2 linked regions of the Astyanax mexicanus genome follow. The protein of the gene in region 2 interacts with the protein of the main gene of each other region in a pairwise test. Links are inferred from orthologs where the notes say so. Each region holds a gene or a part of one and is shown on either strand. Other genes may lie near its edges.

Evidence for each region.
Region 1: the proteins of cul3b (region 2) and abtb1 interact in binary tests that used the Homo sapiens proteins (3 or more experiments, as listed by UniProt). The two-hybrid records come from large-scale screens. The link is inferred for Astyanax mexicanus from reciprocal best matches to the Homo sapiens genes CUL3 and ABTB1.

The regions. Positions count from the first base shown.
Region 1 is NC_064419.1:3,833,903-3,841,419, reverse strand, and holds the start of abtb1 (ankyrin repeat and BTB/POZ domain-containing protein 1), read right to left. Parts: upstream 3,040-7,517; 5' UTR 2,828-3,039; coding exon 2,772-2,827; intron 833-2,771; coding exon 770-832; intron 671-769; coding exon 615-670; intron 1-614. Other genes in the region: si:dkey-222n6.2 (keratin, type II cytoskeletal cochleal), read left to right, coding at 5,791-6,075, 6,932-7,140. UniProt on the Homo sapiens protein: May act as a mediator of the PTEN growth-suppressive signaling pathway. May play a role in developmental processes.
Region 2 is NC_064411.1:43,398,049-43,405,168, reverse strand, and holds the start of cul3b (cullin-3b), read right to left. Parts: upstream 3,005-7,120; 5' UTR 2,792-3,004; coding exon 2,729-2,791; intron 1-2,728. Other genes in the region: guanylate cyclase soluble subunit beta-2-like, read left to right, coding at 5,822-5,824, 6,114-6,187, 7,095-7,120. UniProt on the Homo sapiens protein: Core component of multiple cullin-RING-based BCR (BTB-CUL3-RBX1) E3 ubiquitin-protein ligase complexes which mediate the ubiquitination and subsequent proteasomal degradation of target proteins.

The DNA.
Region 1 (7,517 bases), on a different chromosome or scaffold from region 2:
AAAGTTGTCAGTAGCAGAGGGAAGCTGTAAGATATGAAGTGCTGTTGTAAGATTTTGTGGGAAAACAAAACTGCACTGACTTTAGACTTGATAATAAAACACAGTGGATCAACACCAGCAGATGACAGACATGTCTCTTTATCCAAACCATCACTGATTGGTGGAAACTTCACACTAGACCTCAAGCAGCTTGAACTGTTTGTCTCTCCACTCTTCCTCCAGATTTTTTACTGATTTTACTGATGGTCAGTGACGGTTTGGTGAGCCATCTCATCTGCTAGTGAATAATAATACAGGTTGCTGTCCCAGGACTTTTGGCACATGAATATACTTCAATTCTCTACTATAAAATTCCAGCAACTGATGAAATAGACAGTGTTTTTCAGTAATAACACACTTTAGATTTTTGAATGTATAATTACAAAAGAGAATACATTAATAGCCACTATTAATGATAAACATTTCAAAATTAAAATTAGTAAACAAATAGAACTAAAAACATTTATTTACATGAATCACCAAAAACACACATTTTATACTTTGTAACTCTACAACAGTCTAACTACAAACTACAAATATAAAAACAGCACAATTACAGTGTAATGGATATTTACCGTTGGCCAGTAGATACTGCACCAACTCCTCGTGTCCGCAGAGGCACGCATAGTACCTTCATTCACACCAAGACACAAGGCACATTCAGCTGAGTCCACAGCAGCTACACGGAAATCAAAATACATTTAATACAGAGGAATCAATTCTGACTCACAGAGGTGTACTGTCCCATTTATCTCTCACGTTCAATTCCACATCTCTCTGTTCAACCAGGTATCTGAGCAAGAAAGAGAGAGAAAAAGAACGAGAGAGAACATTAATTAGGCAATAAATAAATATATATATTATATAATATAATTATATATATATATATATATATATATATATATATATATTACAAGAAATACATCACTGTTATGAAAAAAAAAACAACGCAAATTTCACAGTAGATAAAAAATCCTAATTCACTTTCAATGAAAGTCAAAGCACAAGTTAAGTCACAAATTATATTCCAAGTCATTTTTAAATATTTCTATTGGTCCATTCATCATGAAATTTTGATACAATATTTAACTATAAATATATAACCACAAAAATGGAGATACAACGTTTATACAACGTAAATGAGATATATTTTTTTATATTTATATTAGGAATTAATATTAATAACATAAACAAAAAATTAAATGACATAATAATGTTTTAAAGGGATCATGTTCACCACATTTTACTGCACTGTACTATTTACCCTAATATCCAATTAAAACAATGGTGAAAATTTAATAATCATCATCATAACTTTAACAATGTTTACCATAGGGGTTTCAGAAAAAGTGTGTTATATATAATATAATGTTTTGCAATATTTAACAATCTGAACGAAAAAATTATTGATCTTTTTGTGTTTCAATCCCAACCATTAGAAAGCAGTGGTATACAGTATCCCATTCTTTTGATAGGATATGCAGATTTTACACACATAATATTGATGTTTTTCCTACATAACAGTTTAAATAATTATTTATTTAAAAAATTGCCAGTATCGTATTGCTAACAGTATCACAGTCTGCATCTGAGTCTAGTATTGTTTATAGTTCTCATAATATAAAACCCCTGGTTTGATAAATCAGTGTATAATGATGTTAAATTAGATTAGCTGCTGATGGAATTGAACACATCCAATGCTTCATATGCTTCACATATGCATCTGTCAGAAACTTGTAAAACACTCTTTTATGTGACAGTGATTTTCATACTTTAAACTTTTCCTTAACTGAAGTACATAAAGGTTATGTTTGCACTGCGTTTAATATAAAAACTGCATGTAAGGTTAAAGGGGGCTGCTTACTATTTTTTTATTAAATGTAAAGGAAAAACAGCTTGCGCATCACTTTAAATTGTGCTGTTTGTTTTCAAAAAAAAAAAAAAGTTAAGAATTAGTAGTAATGTATTATCACACTTATGATGCACGTTTATGCAAGTTTCAAAAATCAATAACAACTCTGGAAACATAACGAGACCACTTCAGTTCCTGAATTAGCTTCTCTGATTTTATTCTATAAACTATGGACAACTTTTTTCCAAAATTTCAAAGAAAAATATTGTCAGTTAGAGCATTTATTTGCAGAAAATAAGAAATGTCTAAAAAAAAAAGATGCAGAGCTTTCAGACCTTAAATAATGCAAAGACAACAAGTTTATATTCATAAAGTTTTAGGATATCAGAAATCAATATTTGGTGGAATAACCCTGGTGGTTTATAATCACAGTTTTTTTTTCATGCATCTTGGGATCATGTTCTCCTCCATCAGTCTTACACACTGCTTTTGGATAACTTTATGCTGCTTTACTCATGTTGCACAAATTCAAGCAGTTAATCTTGGTTTGATGCCTTGTGATCATCCATCTTCCTCTTGATTATATTCCAAAGGTTTTTTATTTGATTAAAAAAAAAAAGAAACTTTAGCTACCTAACGTTACTTACTTTTAAAGGGTTAAGTTTGTTTACTAACGGAGTGTACAGTATGTGCTACTCTGCACCATAATTAACTCCCTGAACTAACCTCCTGAACATGTATTAACACTGTTACCAGTTTATATAATGCCCTCACTAAAATAACAACTACAATACCAGAGTCAGGGATGATAAAAATACTGATATATATCTATATATTTAGTTTAAATAGCGGCTGCAGAAGTTTAGCCCGGAGTACAGACCTCACTCTCGCAACGTCGCCCTTCCTGCAGCTCGAAAACAGATCGTTTGCGTCCATAGCGGCGATAAAGCGGCTCTGAAAGGCATTGAACCGGCCTGCCTGGAGGACGGGGCGGAGAGCAGGCGCTGGGCGGCGGGTTAGTGAAGAAAACTCGGCTGGGTCGCGGCTCTGGAGGCCCTGCTGCTCGCTGTCACTGCGCTCCGCTGTTTTGACGAAATTTCTCTCAGACGTAAACAACAGTCCTCCGCCACCATAGAGTTTCCCCACAGGCTGAGACCCTCTGCCGCCCCCTCCGGAGGAAGGTGGTACTGCAGGTCTGCGCCCAGTAAGTTAATATAAAAAAAAGTTAATTGATTTTTCCCCTAATATTCCTTAAAATTGTTCTAGGAAATAACCCTTTAAATCTTCTTTTAAAAATTGAACTTTACTAAGTACTCCCTTAAGTGTTACATAAAGTCGCTTACCAGTCTATTCCGTTAGAAGCCGCAAAAAATAATGAGATTTAATAATGAGAATAATGAGATTTTAAACTTATATTTATAGATTCATTAGGCAGTACACGTTAGTTGAATTAAGGCGATTTATTTTTTATTTACTTTTTAAAAAGTAATACTTTCAACGCTTCTCTCTAAATTAGCATAAATATCGCTACAAAATCTAGCAACAAAACCTCTAAATTTGCATAAAAGATGCTAAATCTAGTGACGAATTTTATATAAAATATATTAAAATATATATTAAAAAACCCAAACCTCCCCTTAACTCCCGAAAACCTTTTTATATTAATAAAAAAAATTAAACCTATATTAATTCAATAATTAGGCAGGATTGCAAAAGTATGACAAACTTACGTGTTTATACACGTAACATATACACATCAGTTAATATAATTTTTATTCACTTTTTCAAAATAATACTTTAAATGCTTCTCACTCAATCTACCAACAAATAGTTGCTAAATCTAGTGACAAAATCTTTAAACTAGCAAAAAAGTTAGCTAAATTCCTAGTGACACAATTTCTAAATTAGCAGAGAAGTAGCATATTGATGTTATTTATTACAGGGTGGACGCAAGAAATAAAAAGTAAAAAATTAAAAAAAATAAAAATAAGTAAAAAATAAAGGTGATTAAGTTTAAAAAGAGGATTTTTTTTTGTTTTGAAGCCCAATTAGCACAGTTTTTTTGTTTTTCTCATACTGTTTGAGTAAAATATTATTAAGACTGTCTGAATAAAACTAACCCCTTTTCTGACTTGTAGTAAAAGACACTTGCAGTTCTCTTAAGTGACCAGCAGGGAGCGTACAATCATCAATCATATCCTAATACAGCATGAAGCGCACTGGGCCTCTTGATCAAATCATGTCAAGTAGTTTTATTGTCAATACTGCGTGATATTGTGTTATAATAAAGAGATAATAGACTTAATACAGAAAAATAAAAATATATTCGCAGGGCGAGGGGAAGATTGCTGTATTTCTTTCTTAAAATATGTTTCATGATCTAATTTCAGAGCTAAAAACCAATAACTTTGTACCGTCATGTTTAGAGGTGGTGGGACTGGGACCTGGTTTAGGGGTGCTTGTGCCCCTCTAAAAAAGAGCTAGCAACTATTGTTCAGCACCTCCAGGAACTCCTTCAAGAAAACCATTCCAGGTGATTCTATCTCAAAAAGACACTGAGATTAAAATATATTAAAAAGAGTGTGTAAATCTGTCACCAAGGCTAAATGTATAAGACATATTCTGGTTTAAAACAATACTTCAATACTAGCTTTAATATAGTCTTCAATATTAAAATCACAAAGAAAAAAATACAAAACACATTGAATGAGAAGAGGTGTGTCCAAACTTTTGACTGGTATTGTAGGTGAAGTTTTTGGCACAACAGGAGAAGATCAGAGCGTGCAGGTGGCTCAGAGGTGGTTGGACAGGTCTGGACAGCAAATTAGCAGAAACATCTGACCTGACAGATTTCTCGAAACTGACAGCAGCTTTAAAGAACCATTAAACTTTAAACAATATGTTTTTGGTTAATGGACAAAATGTGTTCATTTGTTCAATGTGTTCATTCCAGTCCTGCTTACAAATTTTTATTTCCTAACTTTTCCTAACCTAAACTATAAAAACTATAAAACTTTTATTGTGATCATTTCTGCCTCTGCAGCGCCCCCTCAGGTTCAACTGTGCTATTATAGGCGAGAATGATGTGTCCGTATACTTTGGTACGCGCACACATCACAATAGGCAGATTATTTAATCAATCAATAGTACTGCCCCCCCTGTTGATGCCCAACCAAACACAGAGCCAATCAGCTCTCCCTCCTGAGAGCTGCCTCGCCTCGCCCACTGGGTGATGTATGGGTTTAGAGACGAGGGTGATGTATGGGTTTAGAGGCGAGGCAGGAGGGACCCTCCCAAACTATTCCTCCCCTTTTTTTTTGCCTTTTTTAAATTTGAGCTGAGGGTGGGAGTGTTGGGGTTGCGGTTATCAGTTCAAACTTTATTGGAAATCCTGGAAATCTATTAGAGAAAACAGACAGGAAGCTAAATATTTAATATGAGTACTCTAAGTATATTAGGCAGGTTCTTCGAATAGCAGACGGCAGCATCAGTAGATCATCAGATACCTGTGAACCAAAACATGCCAGCTCACAACACTGGTACAGAACTCTGACATCAGCAGTCTCTACTACTGAGATTACATCAGGACTGGAAGAGTTCCCAGACACACAGTGTGTGGGTGTGGGTGTGTGTGTGTTCATGTGTGTAAGCATGCATCCCTGATGAATACATGAATGTACAGTATGTGTGTGAGCTGAGCTCTGCTATCAGTTGTTAAACTTGTTTTTCCATCTGAAGAATGTGCATACCTCCAAACACACACACACACACAAAAACACACACACACACACACCCCGGCTAAGTATATATATGTTGTCAGTCCAGGACTCCACACACCTCCAATTATCACACTCCACCATACTCTACAGTCCTCAACAGTCTTCCTCAGCTCTGCAGTCATGAGTAGTCGGGTCAGCAGCAGCAGGTCCAGTGTGCGGAGCTTCAGCAGCAGTTCTCTGGGCTCGTATCCCCGGGCTGGAGCGACCATTCCCCGCACTGGAACCTCATATTTTGGCTTTGGGGATGCTCCAGCGCAGAGCCTGCCTGTTAGGGCCGTAACTGTGGACAGGAACCTGCTGACCCCCATGCAGCTGGACCTGGACCCTGACCTGCATGCGGTCAGACTGCAGGAGAAGGAGCAGATCAAAACACTCAACAACCAGTTCGCCTCCTACATCGACAAGGTGAGAGAGCTAGCCAAGTGTGTTTTACCCTGTATACTTAAAAGACTATTAAGGATTATATTTTTATAGTGATTCATAACATGATCAGAATGTAGATCAGGATGTATCATCAGAAATTAAGGAAACATGCTGAGTTTAAGCACCAACAGCTTATGTCAGCAGAGTTTCAGCCAGTATTTTAGTACTATATACTGTTTAGTATGGGTTGTAGACTTTTTTCTGCTGAACAGATCAGTAATCAGTAATCAATTTTCAAGACGTTCTCCATCAAACCTGGCTAAGCTTGAGCTGTTTTATAAAGAAGAATGGGCAAAAATCTCTAGTCTCTAGATGCGCAAAACTGGTAGAGACAAACCCCAAAGCACTTACTGTTATAATTGCAGCGAATGGTGGCTCTAGTAAATATTGATATAGGACTTTTAGGATGTGCTACTAATGTCTTGTCTTGATACTACAGGACACATTTAAAGGTCTTGTAAAATCCAACTTAGTGGATGAGAGGGATCTACACAATATGGTGGTTTTAATGTTATGGCTGATTTAAGTAAGTAACTAACAGACGATATTGCAATGTCTTCTCATTTTAACTATAGATGGTTGCTTTAATGTATTTTATTTAGTTATTGCTGGTCATGGATGGAGGGAAATTAAAATTTTATTTAAACAGCTCGTTTTCAGCTTATTTATGTTATAAATGACCTGTAACTGACATTATTTTAACTTTTAATGATTAATAACAAAAGCATCCTCACCAAGGTGTCTCTAATCATCACATCAGAGAAAAAAAAGGTCAACCAGGAGCTTCACACTATCTGTTAACATCTCTCATCTTTTATCATATCTCTCTTTCTCTCAGGTGCGCCACCTGGAGCAGCAGAATAAGTTATTGGAGACAAAGTGGAAGTTGCTGAATGGTGAGACGCGCAAGGACTCCAGGTTGGAGCCCATGATGAAGAATTATATCAGCACCCTGCAGGCCCAGCTGGACACCCTTAACAGAGACAAGGATCGGCTGGACGCTGAACTCCACAGCACCCACCAGCTGGTGGAGGACAACCAAAACAGGTTAGGCCCCCCTTAACAATCTATAGTGTGATTAAAAAGTCCATTTACATGTCCAAGTACTGGATAGTATTGCTAACACAGTTAATACAGTAGCAAAGGGTCATACACAGGAAATCCAAAAGATAAAGGTAATTCAATACCCAGCGAGGAGCTACTAAAAAAAACAAAGGGTTTATACACTAAAAGAACTAGGTGTGGGCAATCAGAAGCTCAGAGAGCTCGAGCCCTGTAGTGTCACATGATCAGCAGGGTCCTAAAAGGTCCAGTGTGATTGCATGCTGGGAAAAATGACAGTTTTTATCAGATAATTTGTGTTGCTCTATCACTTAAAATCTCAATAAAATAAATTTAAGTTTGTGGTTGTAAGGTGACAAAAT
Region 2 (7,120 bases):
CACATAAACCCCTTATATGCAGAGTTAATGATTGAGTTATTGATCCTAAAGCAATAGAATCACTGAGTTCAATTTTAGGGCTAATTGTAATTGATGTAAATTATATTATTTAAAAAGACACAATATCCAGATTGAAATGGGCTGCAATCAAAATATCTGATACTGTGTAAAATTGCAAAAAAAAAAAAAAAAATGAAAATTGCACATATCACTATGTCAAGACACTGTGATTAATACAGTGTACTGTGATGTGTATTATGTTATTTGTCATTTACTGTGTCACTTAATGGTTTTAAAAGCTGCTCTTTTTTTTACTGTGTTTTATACACATCACACAGACATGTTATTTATTCGGAGCTTCACATTGTTTTGTTTTGGTTGCATCAATATGTTTTTGTCCGGTTTCACAGTACTATAATGATTTCAGCTCCTTCAAAACTTGAATATCTGACACATTCTGAAAATAATTTTAGTATTTAGGATGAATCGTGCCCCGTACAAAGTAGTACCTAGTCCATTTTTTATCAAAGCATCTCAAGCGTTTACATTGTCCGCAGTAACAGAATGCCATGCAGTCACTCTAAACGCTATACTGAGCCATAAGATCTAAGTAAACATGACTCGACCAAGTCCACACCACTTTCATTTATCTTTCTGCCCTTATCCATCTGTAAGGTCACATTATTTCAGACTGTTTAAACAGCAAAGCTCAAGATAAAACTGTATCTAAGCCAAATGATTGGAACAGGTACAAACACAGTGGCGTGGTTCAGAGGAATTCACACATAGCGTAATAGTTTCACAAGAAAAAGTAGGCCGAATTCCTTCAGGTGGGGTATTGTGAAATCTGTCCGTTTCACAGGTTGGGAGAAGAAAATGTGTGTTAATGTATACTGTTCACGCAGTTTGGTTTCTACACTTTATTCTTTAGTCTGAAGGAATTTGAATACTGTACTGTAAAATACAGGCATACATCAAGGACATCATCCTCCTGATTAAGCCATTTGTTCCCTAAATTTACCTAATTAAATGTTTCTTCTTTTAACTGAGGTTGCAAAATATTTATGAAGTCACAAAATTGTATTTTTCCATCTGTTGGGCTCTGTAACCTAGGTTTCTATGGCTAAAATACACATTGTTTTTAGATTTTTGCAATACTATTAGACATACCTTGCTAGCTAACATAATGAGATAATACACATAGTTTACTATACATTATATACACAATATTATGCTCCCAAGTTATAATAGGGTTGCATTGCAAGGCTGTTTATTGTTTTCAATATTGTTTTTTTGTTTGTCCAGGACCTTGAAAAGGTTTCAGACCTTTTAAAAATATTAATAATACATAACACTCGATTATCATGCAATATTAAAGTATTGCTCACGTCCTGCTAATGTTATTGATGTCAATTAAGAGAAGAAAACAAAACAGAACCCTTTCAAAAAAGCCATGTCAGGTGGCTAATCCAGGCCCCACAAAGTAAACATCCACCCCAGGATTTTGTTTTAACTGCCCGGACGGCTCTGCTGCAGCTCAAGAGTCTATGCAGTTGGAACAAAATCATGGGATGGATTTTTACATTCTGAACCTTTTTTTTTTTTATTATTAAGTGGCACTCAGGAAACACGGACTCCTTAGCTAGCGTAGCTTGCTAACTTTAACGTAATTAACACATACTAAATGAAATAGCTAGCTTATATAATTAAAACAACATAGCTCGTACAGTCATAGCATGTTTTATGTTTTAATCTTCTGCATAACTAAGATAGCTAGCTGGCTAGTTAGTTACAGCTAAGACATACTGACCAACTAGCTAAAGTCCTGGTAAGAGCCGATAGCTAACTAAGCTAGCTAAGGGCTAATAACATGTTTTACGTTAGCGTTAACTAACTAAAAGCTAACTGGCTGGCTAATTTAGCTACGTTCAATGCGTCACACAACATTTCTGCTCGAGTTGTCCAGTTGTGTGGGATTTAAAAACGTACGAAAGTCACGTAAGAGCATAATTCGAATTCGTGTAACAGTGAAAATACATTATCTAGCGCTATCTGTCAGTTAGCCAGCTAAGCTAACGGGGCTAGAAGTCTCCGAACTGCGCAAGTGAGCCAAGCTAGCTATTTAGCTAGGTTAGCTAAATAGCTAGCTAGCTAACTACGTTAGCCTCATACACAGGTTTATATCGCATTTCAGGGACCTAGTTAACTGAATCAGTGAGGGACTGAAAGACGGTCTGAACACGGTTTATTCTCACACACAAGTCGATTAGGACGTTTTTATTCGTGACCTTCGTGAAAAGAGAAGACGAACAGCTCGAATAACTTAGCTAAGCTCATGAATGTCGTTCACATTCGGAGCATTTCCAAAAAATAATCGGCATAAAACAAGTAAGGGTCACATAGCTAGCGTTTACATACGTTAGCTAGCTCTACCTAAATGATATAACCTAGCGTTAAGGTTGGTGTAGCTAAAATCTGTCAGCAGGAAACATGCAGCTATAATGAGGTGACTTGTCTCTAGTTAATGGACACTCTGGTGTTGGTGTTGGTGCTACTGCTGCAGCATTTCTAATTCTGTAATTCGGCTCACTCTTGGATGGGTGACAACATTTATGCACCCCTGCTTAAGAGCACTCGGGCCTTCAAGCCTGAGCCTGAAGCCCGCATCCCCGGAGCTCGAGTGAAGGCCTCGCCGGCTGCGGCGTTCCAGACGCCGGCCTGTACTCACAGGAAAGGCTCGTATCCTCATCTTGGTGTCCTTTTTGGTGCCGCCTTTGCTGAGATTTGACATGTTTGGCTGCCTCCCCGGTGGTCTCCTCGCTCACATGAAAGACTTGTCCTGGTAAAGGGAAGGGAGATAAGTCCGTGGAGCCGATGATCAGCCTCCACTTGACCTTCTTTAATAGCTGGAGATCCCAGTAGTTTGGGACTTGTTGACAAGCGCCTGACTGCTCGGCTCTGCTGTGCTGTGCTGCTCTCCAATGATGGCGGACGGTACACACACACACACACACACACACACACACACACACACACACACACACACACACACACACACACACACACACACACACACACACACACTGTGTGTATGTGAACCTCTCTCACTACTGCAACACATGCGAATAGATATGAGATGGTCTCCTATATTTTCATATATTCATGCACTGACACATTCATTCAATAAAACAAACAAACAAACAAACAAAAAAAAACATTACTATTAAGTTTACTATGAGTTTTCTTCTCAAAATGTCTGTAAAATAAACAGCAAATAATAAAAAAAAGTTTTCTTTTTAAATTGGTTTCATATTGGCCCCACATACAGCTCTGGAAAAAAAATAAATAGACCACTTCAGTTTCTTAATCAGTTTCTCTGATTTTGCAATTTATAGGTATATGCTTGAGTAAAATGAACATTGCTGTTTTATTCTGAAATAACCTCAGTTTTCATGCATCTTGGCATGTTCTCCTCCACCAGTCTTTCACACAGCTTTTTAATAACTTTCAGCAGTTCAGCTTTGTTTGTTGGCTTATGATCATCCATCTTCCACTTGATTATATTTCAGAGGTTTTCAATTAGGTAAAATAAATAAAAAAACTCATATATTTTAAGTGGCCTATTATGTTTTAGTGATGAGCCCCATCCAAGTTGTACACTTGTGAAGCTAAGGTGCACTGTAATGATGGGGCCTATATGGGACCAACCATATATGGCATTGCAGTTCGGTAATGTTGGATTATTAGTATGATCAGTTCTGCGCTCCAGTTCATCTTAAAGATATGGAGAATCCATATACATATCAGCACAGAGACCCCCACAATCCAATGTTGGAGTGTAAGGGTTATACCTTTCAGACTGATTCTTGGCATTGGCCATAATAACTTCAGGGAAATATGTGACTGGCTGCACTAGAGACAATGAACTGTTTTGCCCAAGATCACACAAACAGAACCCACAGACTCAAGTGTAATGTTACTTGAGAGCTGTTAAACTGGTCACACCAGCAGTGCCCCCATAAAAACACACAGTACAGACTCTTGCTGATCTAAACAATTTTTCTATTAACTTACTATATGCACCTTGCACTTTGAACTCTCTAATAATTAACATCTAAGCAGTGTTTAAGCCATTCCTTTGCATTATATTGTTAACCCTGGACCTTTTTTGTGTGTTTATGAGTTTGTCTCAGGTTTGGTAGACGTGGAATGTATTGCTTAATGCAATAACAAATTAATCAAACTAAAGCATGTAGAATAAACCAAAAAAGGTTTAATCTACATTTAACTCAAATAAATTCAAATCCAGAAATCTTTATGTATTTTTCTCTTGGATGCGGTGCAAGGATAATCCACCAGGGGGCAACAAAAGTCAAATTATGTTTTATTATTTATGTACTGAATTATTTTAATTATTACATTATATGTTATTGTAATTTCCTAATGGTTATTATTGTATTTAAATATGATCTAAGAATAATAAAATTAATATCAAATAGATGCTGCAGATTTTTAAAAACTTCACTACGTATCAAATATGATAATTTAGCAAGATGTTTATATTTTTTGCAATTTCAACTAATTTGAACTACTTTAGTCTAAAAGAACTACTTATTCTAAAAGAAAATTGAATATTTTTTTTAAATGTGTTGCACACTAGTTAAGAAAAAATATTCGAATATTTTTTAACTTAATTCAAATAAAAAAAAGAGAGACCTTCTAACATGATGAATGTCTTTGATTTTACCTAACTGAAAACCTTTGGAATATAATTAAGAGGAAGATGGATGATCACAAGCCATCAAACCAAGCTGAACTGCTTCAATATTTGCACCAGGTGTAACATAAAGTTATCCAATTGCAGTGTGCAAGACTGGTGGAGGAGAACATGCCAAGATAAAGAAAAAGAAAAACTGTGAATAAAAACCTGGGTTATTCCACCAAGTATTGATTTCTGAACTCTTACAACGTCACGAATATGAACTTATTTTCTTTGCATTATCTCGCTGCATCATTTTTGTTATTTTAGCCATTTTTTTATATTTATATTTAGAACATAAATGCTCTAAATGATTATTTATTATATAATTATTTATTTGTAATTTGGGAGAAATGTTGTTCATAGTTTATAGAATAAGACAACAATGATAATTTTATTCAAACATATATATGTATATATATAAATAGAAAAATCAGAAAAAACTAATTCCGATTTTTTTTTATTCTGTACGTTGAGCAATGCTGGTTATGAGTACGATTTTTAGTTATTACATAGTTTTAGTTTTTTAAATTTGTAAACAGACAGCAACATTTAGCCTGCTATGGGAAAAACGTAACTTTGTGAAATAGCACATTTAGTAGGTGAACTGAAAATTGGCTTGAAAAAGGTTAGTATATAAAAAGTAGTATAGGTTTAATGTGATCATGGGCAGTCTAAATGTTTAATGGTAATCAGTTCTGTGGAACTGAGCTTTAGAGCGACATGTAGGGAAATTATTTCTTTGTTAATGGAGATGAGAGACTCTCCTCACGACATGTAGATAAAGGAGCAGCAGAGAGCAGCCTAGCTGTCCCACTGTCCACTGCAGCACACCAAACTCAACGCCTTCAGGAATGATACATATATATATTTTAGCAGATTTAAACTTTAACTTTAAAGGGAAGGACTTGTGTTCGTTGTGTGAAGAAGGAATTGCGTTTTTACTGCAGTCATTTCTCCTCTGAAACTGGATATAACACTTTTGGCTTTATATTTAATTACGGACGGAATATCTACAAAGGAAAAATGAACAGTTTATCGGTAGAGGCCTAAGGCAAAGAAATGGTAAGATATTTTTTTTTTGTATTTACCCTGAATATTGTTGTACAATTGGCTTACTTTAGCCCAGATATGTGTGTCTATAAAGCATTTATTTAAATATTTTGGCTTTGGTTTTGTCTTGGTAGTGCGTAGCATTATATTAATCGTGTTTTAGTAGCTCCAACCCATTTAAATATAGTTCAAATAGACATTTTGTGAATTTTAAGTTAATTTCAGGGACAGTGCTGTTTTAAAGCAGATTTGAAGTATATTATTGTGTGTTGTCCTGAACCCTCTTTATATATATCCACAGTACGGCTTTATTAACACATGTTTGAAGTCGCTGGTGATCGATAAATTTGGAGAAGACACATGGAATAAACTCAGGTGAAGATCTATCTATCGCTTCTCTGTGGCTCTCTGAAGCTACCCATACTGTCCAGCAGGTGGCGCTACTGGCCACGGCATCGCTGACTAATGCACTGCAAACCAGGAAATAATAATATTATTGTACAATAAAACTAATATTAATATTAACCAGTCCAGTTTTAAACATTATCCCAAATGACTTACAAAATGCATACACAAATTAAAATTTAATGAATAAAAATATTAATATGAAAAAATATTAGAAATGTAAAATTAAAGCCTTATATAATGGTACCTTAAAACATTTTGAAGCTTCATTTTAAAATGGGATAATGGAGATTATACATCTTTACATAAAAAAATATGCCTATTGGAATCTCAGCAGATAGACATTTGCTTCTTTGAGAAACCTGAAGAAGAAGAAGTCATGCTTTTTTTTCACTGAAATACTAAGAGGTTATGTTTGGTTACATTTGTAAAGGAAAAAAATTAAGGATTTTTTACAGTATTGCTTAGCCATAATTTAAAAACAATATATTAAAAAAAAATCAATTATGTTTTTTATTGATATATATTGACATTTTTCTGAGAATGTGAAAGCACTCATATATATATATATATATATATATATAGGAATTGAACCATCTCATGTCACATTCACATTTGTGGGACTTAAAAATGTTCATTAATTTCATTACTTAATCAAAATGAACATCTATAATTTATATCCAATCCATAACTTAAGATTTTTTCTCAAACATAAAAAAACAAGCTGTATCAAATTTGTAAAAGCATTTTATTCACTATTTGCTGCACTAAATTCTGCTGAACAGTTGGTCAAATATCTTACAAAGCTTTGCAACACAAGTATCTCATTGTAACTTTGAGAAAATAACATATACAAAGAAAACATATTTTTTTACAGGGATGCCGCATGTGTTCAGGATACCT